Arabidopsis thaliana: one gene and its partners. The protein of the gene in region 3 interacts with the protein of the main gene of each other region in a biochemical or structural test. Each region holds a gene or a part of one and is shown on either strand. Other genes may lie near its edges.

Region 1 (4,996 bases), on a different chromosome or scaffold from region 3:
TTTCTTCCACAGAGATCAACGAAGATCAGATTCGAATGCGTAATTTGAAGCAAAACAATGAGAAACAAAATCAAAGAGCGATAGAAAGAGAGAGGCTCAGGAGTCGGGTCGCAGCTTTTTCTATTAATAATCGTGTTTGTTTTCAGAGTGCTGATTTGTAAGATGCTTATTGGTTGACTTAATTAATCACATTCTATACGTTTTTATTATTTTAGTAATTTTTTTCTGCTTCGCTTTAATCGGAAACCTACACGCTCGAGTATGTGATTAGGATAAACTCGCTCCTCTTGTAAGACACGTGTCACTTTAGAAGGACATAATCGGTAATTTGATTTCACCGTTAACTTGAGGAAACTAAAAATCGAGTAGGTATGGGACTCGCTAGTCGTTACGTACGAATCGTGGTGGAGTAAACCACGTTAGCGTTTTCCGTTTTTTGTATAACGTATGCGTTTTGAGCAGTAATATGGGTTAATGTTCATATTCATAGACCCAAAAAAGCCCATGATAATGTCAAATGCAGGCCTAGTCTATCCTTTTTATTTTGTTTTTCTGATGAACCTTGAGAACAAATATAAAAGTATTGACACATGTATGATCTTTAGGTTCCCAACACTTGATTGATACTATAATTCAACTGTTTAAAAATAAGTTATAAGTATGAGACTAACTTATTAGATCTCTATAATACATTTGACTTAGCTTTTATGCTTGCTTAGGCGACCAAAAATAAATAACAATCACCAACTGTAAGAAGAATAATTTCGGAGGAAAACTATATGCCAAGTCAGCCTATTTTACCCATATGAAGACTGTCGGTGGTCGCCGGTGCCGACAGTTGACTTTGCGGTCCCGCCGGAGATCCAAATCCCAACATGTCCGCTGGTTGTTGTTGCACGGTCTGCATCTAATTTAAAACATGACACGTCAGATATTAAATAAATATATTTGTCTTTCTTCAAAACGATGCCGTCTGCAACTGACCTGATTTCCCGCCGGCGGCATCTGGGGAATCCCGCCCATGTACCTAGCGAGCTGCTCCGATAAGATTTGGTTCTGTGCTTGGAGCTGCAACTGTACCGGGTTTTGACATACTAAACCGGGATGGTTCTGCGGAGCGGACCGGTTCATAACCGGGAATTGAGACAATTGCATCTGACTTTGCATAGCCATCTGATTAATGTATGGAGATGATTGTACCCCGGGAAACATCATCGGACTTGCTGCTGCTGCTGCCGCCGCCGCCATTCCACTTCCCATCCACATCACTTGGAGTTGCATTTGAAGTGATTTTAAGTAATCAATTGCTTCATCCAATATCGAAGCTTTATCTGTCTACACAAAAAAAGAAGAAGACAAAACCATATTTAAACACACCAATCAATTACAGCTTAATTAACTCAGTTTTTTTGTGATGAAAAAACTTACTCTGCTGCAGTGAGGTATGAGTTCTTGAAGAGCTTTCATTCTTTCATTGATCCGATCTCTCCTCCTCTGTAATTAATAGACAAAGATCACATCAGAATTATTATTACTGAATGGTTGATCAACTAGTCAGAAATAGTATATGTATACCCTTTCTGAGAGATTATGAACTTCAGCTGCACGGCTTCTTCGAGTAGATCCTGACCGTTGGCTCGATTTGTTACCCATGGTTTGATCATCGGTTGAGGTCAAACCTATATCTGATTGAGACACAGATTCTTGATCAGCATCCATAACATGTTTTCTTTTACGGTCAATGGTTACACTTGTTCCACTAACGGTTTCTTTGTTGTTCCTTCCATAGCTGCAACCGGAGGAGCCACCTGACGAAGTGTCAAGTCTTTCTTCGACGTTCTTGCTTCTATCACTCATAGAAACCGGAAGTGTAGTGGCCTGATGAATATTTGTTGACTGGTTGCTGCCGCAATGACTCGGTCCGACTGTTATAACCGAGGATCTAAACTTAGGAGGAGCCATGGCTTGAGCCTCATGCTTAACTGTCTCTTCGATCGTTCGTGGCTTCTCAGGACCTCCGAGGTGATCGATCGAAGAGAAGAAATGAGAGGAGAACTCGGATTCGAAAGGGTCGATGACGTCATCCGGAGGGTATTGTATCCAGGAGACGGTTTCTTGATCATCTAGAGCAGCGTAGTTAGGCTTTTGTACTGTTTCTTGGTTGTCAAGAAAAATATTGTTGGGTTTTCTTAGGGTTTCTTGTTTGTGGGTTTGGACTTGGACTGACGGTTCTCTACGAGCTTGGCTTTGTAAAACCACTTGACCATCTCTCCACAATAGCTCCACTAATTCATCTTCTGGTCTGTCCCAACATATGAATGTTTACAAACATATTTTAAACAAACAATACTTAAATAGCTATGATTAAGATGTGAAATTGGTATATAATTATGAAATACTTGAATTGGAAAATTGATATATACCTGATTGATCTTTTATTAGTGGACATGTGAAAATTATCTTCAAAATTCCAATCAGCAAACACTTGTTCCATGTCAGATCTGTAAAGACACTTAAATAAAGAATATATTACTTTTTTGTAAGTGAATAAGAAATGATTTGATTCATAATTAGTATAATGATTAACAGGAGATTTGAGGAAAAAGGATGATGAAAGCAATCAACTTAGAAAAGATTATTCGAAATCCCAACAGTTTAATGATTAGAAAATAATTAAACCAAACAACCCTCTCCAACAATCTAGGAGGAAATGATTTAATAAAGCAACTAATTCTATATATAGTAAACTCTTACTAAGGGGAAGCTATAAAAGTAATTACCAGATTTAGAAGCCTCTGAATGGATGGAAGATTTAGCTATATCAGTTTTTTTTTATTGCTTCACACGTAACAAAAATCGAGCAAGGAGGGACAAAAGAAGAACAAAAGATTCTATCTCCAAAACCTTCTCGGTTTTATCTCTCTTCTAGATAGGGAATTGTTCTGAAACTGAGGGAGTAAAGTTGAAACAGAACAGTAACACAGAGAGAGAGAGAGAGAAAGAAGAAAGAGAGGCTAAGGTTCTTCTTGCCAGGTTCAGACAGAAAGGGACAAGAGCTAGAGGAGGGAAGCAGAGAGATTATTACGGTAAGTAAGCGAGTGAGCGAGGGGGAGATAATGATTCGGTGGGGGCAATAGTACTGAAACTGATCAGGATGACCGACACGTGGCGAATTGTCAGACAACTAGTTAAAGAGTTAGTGAGACCCACCAACTCGGTTGGATTTTGTCTGTGAAGTTGAGAGAGATCTATTGCTCGATTTCTAGAGGTGGGTTTCTGATCTGTACCTTATCTGCAACACTCTTTGAGTCTTGACCAATGATTAAGGGTGTTTTTGTCAAATCATAACACCCCTCTTATGCTTCTCTTTCAGCGAATAGTATCTCTAATAATGGTAAACAAAAAACAAATTGAAGTTCTCTATTTTCTACGATGCTTCGATGAGTTTATATCATCATCTACTATATGAATATATGAACCGTTTTATAATCATCTGAATTCAATTTCATGTCAGAGTCTCATTAAAACCCGAGCGGAAATAATCTTGAGAAGTCATCATTTTTTCCCCCGGCAAATTTCCACATCGCATTTATTTCACGTGTTGACTAGTTAAAGCTACCATCGTAAGTTTTTGTGTTATTATCATTCTCTAAACAACTGCAAGTTTATACATATAACTTTTAGTTGATTGTGAATTTGGAATTTATTAATTATACACAAAATTTTGGATATTAATAACAGTTTTGAACCTAAATATGCAATCACAAATTCACAATGTCGTAATAAACCGTGGACCGTTGTGACTTGTTTGTCATGGACCACAGACAAACAATGGTCCACCAAAATTATGATCACATTAATTTCCGATCCTTATCACAATAATTTAACAGTAGATCAGTTTCTAACCCTTATCACATCAATCTTATCGTTTAATGTGCATAACCCCTACCGATCTAATGATAAACAAACATATTATTAGTATGATAAATTCATGAATATATTACATTGCAACTTACAAGTAGACAGACAGACATATATAGTGGGTGCATTTGTGAAGAAAGCATCCACCGAAAGGAGACATTTCCCTTTAAAAGTCTTTGGCCCTCATTTGCTTTTTCCACGAAAGAGACGAGGTCGTAATAGCGTCCATTCAAGGCTATAGAAGGCCATGAGCCAAGTAACTCAGTTTTTGTTTCCAGCCATAGAAATAGTAATTTAGTGCAAAATATGGAATTTAAATATGAGTAGTTTAGTGAAAATTGCTGAATAATAACACTTTTTCTTCCGTATGCAAGTTTTTTTTTTTTTTGATAAATTATTTTGTATGCAAGTTGCTATTTGCTAGTTGGATGAATTAAGTTGATAGATAGATTCGTTCGTCGTGGACGATACATGTAAAACGTTGTTATCCCAATCAAGCAAAGAGGAACACGGTTACACAGATGCCAGCCATAAATCATAAAACCCCAAAACCCTTCGATTGCTATTTTATTTTTCTTATAATTTTTGTTTGCATTTGACTCAAATGATGTCGTTGTATTTGAATTTATAACTCATGTCGACATATAAGTCGTCGCCTAGTTGGATAATTAATTCCATCATCTTCTAAACCGATATATGAATTAATTCTATGCATATACATTAGATTTCGACGAAGGAACGAATCTATCAATCATCATTGATTAAGGAACCATATACATACATTAAATATTTATGAATATGCATATTCATAGGATGAAGATAACATCACATTAAATAGAATGACATTAGCAAATTGAATTTATCAGAAAAGGCCCAAAAGTTTTAAGTCATGTCATATAACAGATATTGTACTGTGTTGTGGAGATGCGTTATTGGGCCTAAGATACGGCCCAGTTTAGTCCGAAAAATACAAATTTATCAGAGAAAAGGGCCGAACAAAACGTCAAAACCCTAACTCTATAAGAGACCGTTCTGAAACATTCAGGCGGCGGTGGCGGCGATGGAAGTAGACGGA
Region 2 (5,206 bases), 570 kb from region 3:
ATAAATGTTAAACTTCTTTTTACATCTTCTTTATTAAGCAAATACAAAATTGATTTAACGGTTTGATACATATATATGCATGTTTGTCAAGTCTTATGGTCATGGAGATAGCAAGTCTTAACGGTTTGAGAAATTTGTTTGCCTTTTCTTTTAGCTTTATATTTTCGATATTATGGTCATGGACTGGAGATACCATATTAGTTGACATCACTACGTTTTTAGATGAAGAGATCCTATGAAAGACACTACAAAATGGGCAATGCTTGGCCAATTACATCATTAATTTTCTTGCTTTTGTTTGCTGGCTTTTGTCCGTCTATTTACATATTTTGTGTCACATTGTGAGCTTAGTTGCAAGGACTAAGATTTGTTTGTGCATTTGTATCGATAAGTCTTTGGGACTTGGGAGTGGAACATTTGTAAATATTCACTGTTAAGCTTAATCAAGAATTGCTTTCGTCAAAAGTAATAATAATAGACGAGAAAAGAATAATGATCGGGTATGTATATGAACCTAACTTTCTCATATTTATTCTTTGCACTAAGCCTCTGCAACCTCTATGTATTGATTCCTAGATCTCTGGATCATTACATGTACAGCTCTCTAAGTATACAACCTGAGAAGAGAGGACAAAACAAACCAAAGAAAAACAAGAAACAGATGGCGATATATATACATGTTAGGTCTCTCTGTCAATTTCTCAAAATTGTGTTTGCTTGTGAAAACAGATCTTCTTGTTGCTCCATGGACATTATTAACCTGTTGTGTGGTTTCCGTGATCCTCAGATTCCTTACTACTACTCACCCTGCTCGAACTTGGATACGATGTTGCTTGATTCTAAAATAAGAAAGATAAGAACTTGTGACTTGTAAGCAGAGGAACTAGCCATTTTTGGGAAAAAGATGACTGTTTAGTACCTGAAACTGAGGTGGTTGGGTCGGGTCGGATAAGAAATTGTGTTTGCTTGTGAAAACAGATCTTCTTGTTGCTCCATGGACATTATTAACCTGTTGTGTGGTTTCCGTGATCCTCAGATTCCTTACTACTACTCACCCTGCTCGAACTTGGGTACGATGTTGCTTGATTCTAAAATAAGAAAGATAAGAACTTGTGACTTGTAAGCAGAGGAACTAGTCATTTTTGGGAAAGAGATGACTGTTTAGTACCTGAAACTGAGGTGGTTGGGTCGGGTGGAGACCGCGGAACTGCTGATATGGATCCGTGTAACCAGCTGGATACTGAGGCTGGCCCGAGGTTGGATCATACTGCTGGTTCGGTACAAAGACTCTTGACGGGTCAGAAGCATGAACAGGGTATTGCGGTCCTGACCCGGCCATGTGAGTTTGTGTAGGCAAAGGTCTTTGAGCGGCTAACATGTTGGGGAATGGCATGAAGGAAGGAGGAGGAATAGGCTGGTTCATACCCATACCCATCGCCATATGAGGCATGTACTGTTGCATGCCCGGATACATCATTGGCATCATTCCACATCCCATTGACATCATCTGCATTAATCTCAGTCATATAAACTGGAGTTTTCATGGTAAAGTGTACATTTTCAAGAACTTAAAAAGGGCTTTCAAGACTTAGAATCCTTTAAAGAAAATGAACCTGTATTTGAAGCTGAAGAGATTTCATGTACTCAATAGCTTCATCTAGCATCGAAGCTTTATCTGACTGAGGATCAAAGAAACAACAATCAGTAACAAGGTTAACGTATACAATAACTTGAAGAGAAAGAAAAAAGATCGTCGAAGACCTTGTTGCAGCGAGGTATAAGTTCTTGCAAAGCTTTCATTCTCTCATTGATCCTATCTCTCCGTTTCTGTTACCAAATCCGCGACATTCTTCAGATTCATTGCGAAATCTTTATCGAAAAAGATTACAAAAACATAAGAAAAAACACAAACGTACTCTTTCAGAGAGATTATGAACTTCAGCAGCACGAGATCTCTTGGTAGATGTTGTTGATACACGTGCTTGTTTTGTTTCCTGCACCACAAGAAAACACCAAAAAAGTTAATTAAAAATGCGCTGAAAACTACAAAGTCAGACTAAAATGCGCCGTATTTGACTTGCGCACGATAGCTAACAACGACTCTGTTCTGTGTTTTTTTGACTCACCTCGCTACGGGATTCAGTTTCATCAGTAGTGGTGGCTTCTCTCTCTTTTCGTTTCCTATCATCGACGTTCGTCTTCTCCGGTTCGATTTCGCTCTTTGACACTACAGATGACGATGTACCGGTTATCTCGATCGCCGGCGCCGTCATAGCCACTGCTTTTCCCTTCCGATTATACGCGCCGCCTCCAGCTACGGCGGAACTGTCAGTACCATCCGTCCGCCGTGTTAAACCGGATTCACTCGCCGCCGCCGACGGTGTTGCGCTAGGACTTACCTGCGTAGATTCTCTCACAACCGCCTTCGAAAGCAACGGTCCAGATTCACCACCTCTACCGTTATTAAAATCCCCTCTCAGCCTCGAGAAATTCATGAAGTTCCTCACCGGCGGCCTCGACTCATTCGTCGAAGATACTGGCGGTCTCGCGGCGGTGACTTGACTCACCGTCGCGGTAGCCGTCGCAGTAGGTGCGGCGGAGAAGAGAAGATCTGAGCAGAAATCATCGTCACGGAGAGGATAATGAAGCCAAGAAGTCATTTCATCTTCTTGAATAAAAAGATTCTGATCTGAAGAAGGTTGCTGCTGAGGATCCATAGAAGGAAGAAGCTTCGGTGGAGAAGAAGAAGGTTTCTTGGTGTGAAGTCTCTGGTTTTGAACAACAACTTGACCGTTCTGCCATAAAAGCTCCATAAGATCATCATCTTCACCCCTAAAGTTTTCAATACTATAAATACTCAGATCTTGAACTAATCAAACTTTTTTTTTTTTTTAATATAAGTTTGAATAAAAGAACTTACATAGTAGTAATGGATTTTCTAGGAAGATGATTCAAAGAAGAATTATGGTTGTTGACATAATCATCATCGGTATCGAAGTCAGGGACAAAATGATGCATATCTCTCTCTCTACAAAGATGATGATAATGGTAAGTATTAAAATAACAAACAGTTATCTTCTTCTTCTGGTTTTATAACCAAAAGAAAAACCCCAGAAAGATCCAAAAGAGTAGCACTAGTGAGTAAGTGTACTACACACAGAGATTACTAATCAGTGAAGAAACATATATACTACCCAGACTATATCTAACCTAGAGAATTGAGGTTGGTACTGGATAGGCTTCTCAAAAAAAAAAATATATCACCTTTATTTCTGGGGAACTAGTATTGGATGACTGGATCTTTTTTTTTTTTTTTTTGTGCTAAAGGATGACTGAATCTTATTCTGAATTTTCGTGCTTTAAGAATGTGATAAGCTTCTTAAGGGTTTTTGTCTTTTTCTTATATGTCTCTCTTTGGAGTTTGTTTTTGCCTCTTCCGTGACTCTAGCATGTATCGCATTTACTATTGTGTCAACTAACTTTAACAGTGAATTCTCTATTTTATTTATGTGTGTATGTGTCTGAATAGAAACTTGTGCCCATTTTTTAACCTCTGAATAAAAAACCAAGTTGAACATAAAAACAAAATGTCTGAGATCATTTGTAGCTGACGGAGATAAAATAATCAGCCTCATTGTTTCTCATCCGTACTATAAATTGTTTTCATGGCATTATCATCAAAAAAAAATTATTTTATAAACTTTATCCAATGATCCGGTTAATTTTGGTAAAAATATATTTAAGTATTACAAAATAAATTTATATTCAAGGATCATCACACATTTATTCCGAGTTTAGAATATTAACTGATTAACACTTAAACATAACTGAATCGCATGTTACCAGATTACCATTTAACTTGTCTGGACCAAACCTAGACATCCTACATGAATATAATTTTCTTTTGATAGAAGATCGAATACCGGATGAAATGGTATTTTAGCAATAAGACTTGAAAATGTGGTATTTTGAGAAATGTCTCAAAAAAATATGACTGACACGAAAATAATATTTTGTTTTAAGGGAGCCTCGAATTCTAGAGGAGTATTGTAGCAAAATATCACACTTTCAAGTTGTGTTGTCAAAATACCACCAAAAGTTTTGTTTTCCAAAAATATTATACTTCAATTTTGATTTTCAAGAGTTCATCAGAATTAAAAAAATTAAGTTTGAATTGACCATTTTAATTTTAAGATATTGTTTTTAGGGGTTAGGGTTTAGTGTTTAAAGTTTAGAGTTTAATTTTGAATGTTGGAAGTTAAATTTAAGTTTTATGTTATTTTAAGAAACCAAACATTAAGTGGTATTTTTAAAGAAATAAACAAAAACTTAAGTATCATATTTAAAAATTGTCCTTTTTTATATCGCTAAATTATAGATTTAAGACTACATATATCTTGCAGGAAATATTCCTTTAGTCTTGTGGTTAAATCCATTTGATTCCGCTTTTTCCACCAGAGTTTGACTCCACTAAATCGTGTTATCTTGCATAATAGATATTGGCTATAGAATAGACCATGTCAATCCAAAGATGTTAAAAACAAAAGACTACAACATATGCAAACATGATATTAAAGACTTAAGTGAGTCTCCTCTTCTATAAACAGAAAAGTCGAATGCTACATAAAGTGTTAATTTATAATCATTTATAGTAGTCAAGTTAGTGAACAAAGTGTTAATTTCTTCTATAATACTTCTTTTGTTTCTATTTTGTTCTAGTTTAAGATTTTGGTACATTGATTAAGATCATTTAGTTTCTGTTTTCTTAAATTTTAAAAATATGTTTAATTACATATTTTAAAATAATTTAACCAATAAAAAGTTGCAGAATTTCAAGAATCAAAAATAATAAAATAATAATAAATTTTGCATTGAAAACAACAAATAAAATGAAACAACTTATTTTTTTTTATAATCATTTTACCTTTTGATAAAGAGCATTTATCATTGATATGGGAACACGCACATATATATATATATATACACATTAATATGTATATACATATTTTTATATAATTCCAAGTAGGGAAGAAAGAAACAGAGAATCAGATATGGACTCACATTGGTGGGGACAATATTAAGACAGAAATTGGGTGTTTTTTTTATTGATAATCTCAATGATTTATGAGACAGGGTAATATGTTTATTTTTGTTGCTAAACCACCCTCTTGCATGATCTATCAAACTTAATTATTTATTCTTTTAT
Region 3 (7,095 bases):
AGCAATATGCTTAAACCAAGAAAGAGAGATATTGACATAACCAAAAGTGTACTAGAAACCATTATAAGTTTTGAAGGTTTTAGGTGGGTTTAAGGGTTTGAATTGGGTTTGAGACATTTAGAAGGCTATTGATTGGTGAGTATTTATAGAGCATATATAATGGAGTTTTGATTCCTTAATGATTAGTTATATATTGTTAATATTTCAGTCTTTGAGCTTTACTTTAATTTTCTTTAAGAAAAAAGGTGAGTTTAGTGTGGGTAATGTGAAAAACGAAACAGCCTGGAGAGCATACACATCAAAACTATAGTGCGATACATCATAAACATTAAATTAACTATTGTTAATGTGTTACATCCTAAGCTTAGCCAGCCTAATTTAAACATCTCACTTTTTATATATATAGTGGAGTTTGTAAAATTTCAACTTTTTGGACGGTACCATTTCATCATAAATCTTTTAAAATTAATGTGATTGGCCTTTACCTCTTGATTGCGTAGACAGACTAATTGGATATAATATGATTTATAAATGGTTAACAATCAAATAATAATTTTGAATTGATGTAACGAGTAACAAATTAAAAGGATTGGTCATCGATTAATATGCTCTCTTCTTATCTCATTGTTTTGTTTCTCTCGGAGTTGTCAATTTACACAGCACAAACAAAAGTCTTGAAATTCTCTACAACTACTGTTACGTTTTTTTTCCGGCGAGCTGAGCTGAACGCAAATAATCTCCCTCTTCTCTACTAATCTCACCGGAAACAAAAAAAAAACTTTCTATCCTCCTCCGACGTCGTTAGACACACAAACACTCATACAATGATACAAACTCTCATACCAACTGAAGTGTGACTAATATGGCATCATCAGCATCATGTCACCACTTCCACTAGCAGTTGACAATGGTCGCTTTCGAGGTACAGGGAGTTCCAGAATGATGAGGAAATAGGACCGTTCTGATTCTCGGATGTATTGAACCTCACCGTTCATTAGCTTTAAAATCTTTCGACATACGCTTAGACCTAAACCTTCAGGGCTTGTCCACCTGCTGCTATGGAACATGTCTCGGACTAGCTCTGGAGGCAGACCTTCACCTGGACACGCCATTCTGCAAACAACGAATAAAGACATAACAAAGACACCAACACATGAAACCCAAGTTTTACACTTTTGAGCTGGTTTTCATCAATTTGAAAACATTACATTCCTTGACTGCTAATTCTAGGCCTATGGATGTGTCTAAAAGTTCCCAAGTCGACTAAACCGAATACAAAAATCAAACTAATCTAGGTTCCAACTAAACAATAACCAAAACAAATAGTGAATTGGTTAAAACCTCAAATTCTTTAAACGCCTAAATCAAATTCGTAATTAACCAAACCAAATTCATTTTCTTTATGTACAAAATAAGGAACCAAAAAAACCGGATTGCATAATTTTGGTTATGGATATGTGGAGACAACAGCGGGAACAATGAAATGTACCTGAATTCTGTGCGGATGGCGGCGAATCCATCAGCCATTTGCTTTGAAAGTTGGCTTAAATGGATCTCCACCCACTCTTGAGATGGTGCATACCGGATTATACTCAGCAGAAACTCAGCCAGGAGCTGTTGAATCCTTATCTGGTCTCCAAAAACCTCTATTGATTTGATCTCTTCGGGAATGTCACGGATCAGCTGAAGACCTCTGTCCCTTAATAAGAACATCGCTTGACTTACAATCGCGTTTATGACACTTCCAAGGAAAAACTCTTCCCTCTTTAGCACAAATGAACTGATCAATGAAAAAAACAAAATTTGGGATTTGGTCACATTTTGTGAAGTAAGCAAAACTAGCTTCTAGATAAATTCTAACTATACTCACCCGTCTTCAATGCTTTCAAGATCCATGTCCCCGACGATCCTTGAGATCTGTTTCTCGCAAGAAACACTTGTTTCAAGTAACTGCTTCTGGTCCTCGTTCAAGTCTGTGGCCTCCAACAATGAGTTTGCGAAACGCATACCGCTCAAAGGATTCTTTATCACCTGACAAATATAAGCCAACTCTTTTGCCTTCGTGAAACACTCTGTGTCCTGCCTCCGTTGGACTGCTAAAGCTTGCTGCAGCTCAGGGCTCGGGATTTGCAAGAAACAGAAAGCCCCAATAACCTTTCCCTCGAGGCTAACCCGCTTGTTTGCAGTCAATAGAGCCTGAACAAACTTCCCATTGCGGTCAAAGAATGGGAAAGGGAACTTATCCGTATCTTGGCCACCAATCGCATTATGCAATACAATCATGAACTTGGTTAAAGCATCAGGACCCTTTAGCATGCAACAGCTCCCAAACACTTCCCCGACAATCATTTTCCCAATCACTTCACTGCGAGACCAACCCGTAAGCTTTTCCATCGCCATGTTCCATTCCAGGCAGCACGTGTTCTCGTCAGCAGCAAAAATTGGCGGGATTAGAGGGTTTGGGCTATGTACAATAGCCTTGTAATCTCCTTGTATGTTGATGAACTTATCCATTACGATTTTCTGACTAGTAACGTCTTGTCCAACAAAACAAACGCCGACAATGTTGTTCAAGTAGTCCTTGCTGGAACAAGCATTCACAACCACAAAAACTGCTTTCCCTTGTAGTTCGGGGCTGAAAGTTTTCAGCTTAACCTCCACATTCTTTTCCTCGTCCCCTGCATTGCCAAATGCAACAAAATAATCAAATACCCGCGAATTGGTATATACACCGCAGATACAACATAGCTGAAGAACTGAATATACCTCTCAAAGCACGAGAAAGAAGCTTATTGACAGTTGCTTCATTCTCTTTGTATATTAAATCAGAAACCAGAGACTTCCCCATAGCTTCTTCAACTGAGAGACCTGTCAACTCTGCAATCTTAGCGTTCCATCCATTGATGCAGCCTCCGGCATCCACAGCGAATATAGGAACAGTTGCAGTCTCAATGAGCCTAACCATCTCTCTTGCAACTGCACCTAACTCATCAATCCCCTGTTCCCCCGCCATATCCCTACATGGCTGAACCACACCATCCACAACTTTAGAGTTCATAGCCGCCTCAGATTCTTTAAAAGAGTCTCTCAGAATAAGCTGGAGCGAGTGAATCGCATCCATTTCCGCAGTTTCCCATGGCTGACTCCGGCTCTTAACAACTTCAAGAAAAGCCTGAAAGGACGAACGAGGATGCATTCGTTGCCCATCATCTTTATCCTCCGGATGATGCTTAGCGCCTCCCCATTTGATTTCTTTCGCAGTGTGAGATCGAAACCAAAAAAGAAAGTCTCTTTTTGTGATATATGCAACTGCCATACCGCACACAGCATCCCCTAACGCAGCTGCACCGGGATACCCCGCATCGCCTAAACTATCAGTGCTTAATCCGGTTGAATCCGCATGATTCGCAAGCAACCACTCCACAACATCTTTTATCTGAACTTCACTAGGAGCAACACCCAACGGGTAATACTTCCCGTGGTAAAGAAATGCTGCACCGTCACATTTCACTAAGTCCATGATACTGGGACTCTGTGTAACAATTCCAGCAGGCGAGTCACGCAGAAGCATATCACATAACAGTGTCTGCGTTCTCAAAACGCGTTTCTCTGACATTTGCAAAGCTAACTGCAATTCCATGTTTAACTGTAAACCGAAAGCCTGCATCAAAAACTCACAAGCATACCTTAGCGGAAACGGTATGCAGCGAGAAGAAGTGTGATGGCAAACAACCAAACCCCAAAGCCTCATCGAGCTTCTTCCACTAGCTACATTGCTCCCATCATCTTCATTTCCATTGATTATAACCGCCATTGCTAAAGACGCAATAGATCCCATGTTAGCCATATACTGAGAGTGACAACCATGAGGAGCCCTAAGAGTAGAACCAACCAAGCACATAGACTGAGTTAGCCTATCGTCCTGGACCACAAGAACAGGTGTGGCATTGCAATCTACTATCATTCGGACACGGTTCTGCTTAAACAAGAACCTTGACGCTTGAGGAATATCAGTAGCAGGATAATGCAGTCCAATATAAGGCTCTAAATCATCTCGTTTACTCTCAGCTACAACTTCTCCATGCTCATCTTCATGAAACTTATAAACCATAACACGATCATAACCAGTCAAGTCCCTCACACTTTCCACGACAGTGTCACACAAAAGCTTAATATCTCCACCAGGAAGAGCCTGTAACTGAGAAATCGCACGAACCGCGAGTTTCTGCGATTGAACAGCACCAGCAATAGAAAGCGCAGGATCTTCAGTTCTAGCTGGCTCTAAATCAATAACAACACCAACATCAATCCTATGAAGAATGGCGTAAAACGGTTTACCAGTATTCTTGGAATGGATCCAAACCGGATTTAACAAGGTAATCTCTCGAGCAACGAAAGCACGCTCGAGTAGAATCGAGCTCGAAGAAGTGAACAAAGATCTCACATCAGTTCCCATAGCTAGAATCTCAGGTTTCTCAAGAGTAGGAACAGATTGAGGCATAATCCCTAACATTTCTCTGGCGTTTTCACTGTAACCGATGATCCGGAAACTGGATTCATCGACGGCGATCATACATCCGAAAGGCTGAATGTAACCACCTCGCTGGATTCGAGAGAGATAAGCTGTGATCTGTTGCTCAGGTACAGAGGAACCGTACGTCGTCGTTTTGAGTGATTGTGAGTAGTCGAATGATTTCCCTGATTCGCCGGATTGTTCGAAAACGGCGTGGAGTCTTGCGTCGACGGTGTACTGTTGAATTGCTTTGCTCATTGATTCAGTGTTGCTTCTTGGTCTGAGAGATTTCGTTCCCGACGATTGAGCTTGTTCTCCTCCTCTTCGGTTATTAGGAGTGTGACTTGACGACGGTTCTTCTTCTCCGCCACGGCCACCGCCACGGCCACCGCCACTACCCCCGACTCCGGAAACCATGCCGTTTGATTTTGAATTTGAGAAATTTCTCAGAATTACCTTGAGACAAGGAAGGATTTAGGGTGAATCATCATCCACTAGTTATCGGAGACGAATTCTGGTAGAGCTAAATTCTCAAGAATTTTGAACTTGAGGAAGAAGAAAATGGGGAGAATTGAGATCGGAGATAAGTGGAGAAACCAATAAAATAAATTGAAGAAGACGAAGCAAAATGTGTGCCTCTCAGATAGAGAGAGATAACAAAAAAAAATCAGAGTTTTTTTTTTTTTTGTCGTCTTCGCTTTTTGTTTCCTCATATATTTTCTGCGACTTTTTTTGTGTGGCGATTTTAGCAAATTACCTTTAAAGTTTTGATATTTATCAATTTAACCCAGAAGAGCTTTTGTTTTGTCGTTTAATGTGAGGGAGAGATTGATTGGGCCCAAGATCACGTGGGCTAATGGTTTATTCTCTCTAGTGGCCACACGTGGTTGCTGGGCCCATTGCGCGTGGGAGGGAGCCCCTGGACTTGTCGAATCGCATCATCAATTACGATTTCGAATTCGTACTATACAAGTTTGGTTTCTTCAATATCTTATCGTGGGTCAAGTCAACCAAGTGGTGTCCTCTCTATACAAATATTGAAATGTTTTATACTCTCATCGTACGTATATACTTCTCATAATTTGTACTAGATAGAATATAGAATCACATATTGGTCTCAAAGGGGTTCGAAGTAGTATTAGCACGCTCCATGCGGAATAGAATCATAAATTTTGCATAGTAAACTCGTCTAATACATAAGATATATTTTGGTCCACTTTGATATATACGTTGGATCTATATCATTACATTTTGTATAATACATGCATTGTACTACTTAGCATTACGTTTTATTGAATATATGCAATTCTTTTTTGACATATTAATGATTCTAAATTTGGATTATTTGGTGAAAGCATACAATTATGGTGCTTCGAAAAAAGAACATAAAATAAATTAAAGTAATGATAAAGAGGAAAAAAAGAGAGCAGAAAAACATATAAATGAGAAAAATCGTGTGCATGAAAAGTTAAGGGTCCATTACATAAATGATTTTGGGCCGCTCACAGTTTCATGTTAAGTCACTGCGTTCGTCCTTTTCTTTTGTTGAATGACTAATTTCTCCATCTCGTGTTGTTTGTTTTCAAAGCTCTATCATAATAAGTTAAGTATAACCGACCACTTTTTCTTTTTAACACTATTACATATATAAACATCCATGTTACCATGTATGAAGACAAAAACGATTATCTTATATACCCATAAAATATTATGGACCAAAAGTGAATAGTGAAAAGAAAACAGAAAAAAATTGGAATGACAAAAGAAAAACACACTATTCGTTGACAAAACAAAAGTTTAAATGTTTATTAGTGAGTAATGACCTCATATGTTTTGGTCTTATCTTGGACGAGATATGATTGGATGTCCACGAATTTAATCATGTACCTGTTCGCACTAGAGTGTACTAGTTCGTTGGCTAAGAATCGTCCACGTACAATAGTTTTAAACCACCAGTAATTTACCACGTGCCACTGAAATCAAATTAGCTAATAAACTACTCAATTACCAAATCACCCTTATAAACTCTCAATGATTCTTTAGGCTTGGCTGCTAATTTCTTAAAACTTTTGCATAACTTTTGCATAAATAAGAATAAGACAAAAGATGAAATTAATATAAGGGTACAATCGTAATTCAAGAATTTCCAAAATTCGTTCTTTAGTATAACGAAGAACTAGCTAGACATTATTAGGCATTGGGGCATACTTTAAAGCCCAAAACTAAGCCCTCCCATACTAATAAATCAGGAGCCCAAATTGGAAAAAACGACTTTAATAGCCTTTGGGTAATACTTTAAAGCCCAAGCCCAATTTAGAAACATCTAACATTTCTGAAGTGTTCGTTCTCTCATAATCTCTGAAGAAATCAGAGTAAAAGGTAAAGTAAAATTTCTTCGATATGCAAAAACAATCAACGACGATGCTCTCGGATCTTCCAAAGGATGTGGCGGAGGAGGTGCTCTCGAAGTTTCCAGTGACATCTCTGAGAAGAGTACGATTCACATGCAAAAAGTTGAACACTTTATCCAAAGATATGTCTTTTACAAGGAAGCACATCGATAAAGAAGAAGCAAAGAAGAA

Evidence for each region.
Region 1: the proteins of PHYB (region 3) and PIL6 form a complex in vitro, tested with the Arabidopsis thaliana proteins (2 studies listed by BioGRID, with this or other methods).
Region 2: the proteins of PHYB (region 3) and PIL5 form a complex in vitro, tested with the Arabidopsis thaliana proteins (3 studies listed by BioGRID).

What each region holds. Positions count from the first base shown.
Region 1 is NC_003074.8:21,827,402-21,832,397, forward strand, and holds PIL6 (phytochrome interacting factor 3-like 6), read right to left. Parts: upstream 3,437-4,996; 5' UTR 2,781-3,436; exon of another isoform or gene 2,502-2,780; 5' UTR 2,495-2,501; coding exon 2,424-2,494; intron 2,303-2,423; coding exon 1,576-2,302; intron 1,495-1,575; coding exon 1,429-1,494; intron 1,336-1,428; coding exon 985-1,335; intron 908-984; coding exon 788-907; 3' UTR 504-787; downstream 1-503. Other genes in the region: AT3G59070 (Cytochrome b561/ferric reductase transmembrane with DOMON related domain-containing protein), read right to left, coding at 4,963-4,996. UniProt on the Arabidopsis thaliana protein: Transcription factor acting negatively in the phytochrome B signaling pathway to promote the shade-avoidance response. Regulates PHYB abundance at the post-transcriptional level, possibly via the ubiquitin-proteasome pathway.
Region 2 is NC_003071.7:8,703,521-8,708,726, forward strand, and holds PIL5 (phytochrome interacting factor 3-like 5), read right to left. Parts: upstream 3,485-5,206; 5' UTR 3,265-3,484; exon of another isoform or gene 3,029-3,264; 5' UTR 3,019-3,028; coding exon 2,921-3,018; intron 2,833-2,920; coding exon 2,127-2,832; intron 1,995-2,126; coding exon 1,917-1,994; intron 1,828-1,916; coding exon 1,762-1,827; intron 1,680-1,761; coding exon 1,614-1,679; coding exon of another isoform or gene 1,599-1,613; intron 1,508-1,598; coding exon 1,169-1,507; intron 1,089-1,168; coding exon 1,005-1,088; 3' UTR 920-1,004; intron 840-919; coding exon of another isoform or gene 756-839; 3' UTR 504-755; downstream 1-503. UniProt on the Arabidopsis thaliana protein: Transcription activator. Negatively regulates chlorophyll biosynthesis and seed germination in the dark, and lightinduced degradation of PIF1 relieves this negative regulation to promote photomorphogenesis.
Region 3 is NC_003071.7:8,137,914-8,145,008, reverse strand, and holds PHYB (phytochrome B), read right to left. Parts: upstream 5,247-7,095; 5' UTR 4,931-5,246; coding exon 2,767-4,930; intron 2,679-2,766; coding exon 1,871-2,678; intron 1,781-1,870; coding exon 1,490-1,780; coding exon of another isoform or gene 1,360-1,489; exon of another isoform or gene 1,114-1,359; coding exon 858-1,113; 3' UTR 548-857; downstream 1-547. Other genes in the region: XTH21 (xyloglucan endotransglucosylase/hydrolase 21), read right to left, coding at 1-62; AT2G18780 (F-box and associated interaction domains-containing protein), read left to right, coding at 6,914-7,095. UniProt on the Arabidopsis thaliana protein: Regulatory photoreceptor which exists in two forms that are reversibly interconvertible by light: the Pr form that absorbs maximally in the red region of the spectrum and the Pfr form that absorbs maximally in the far-red region.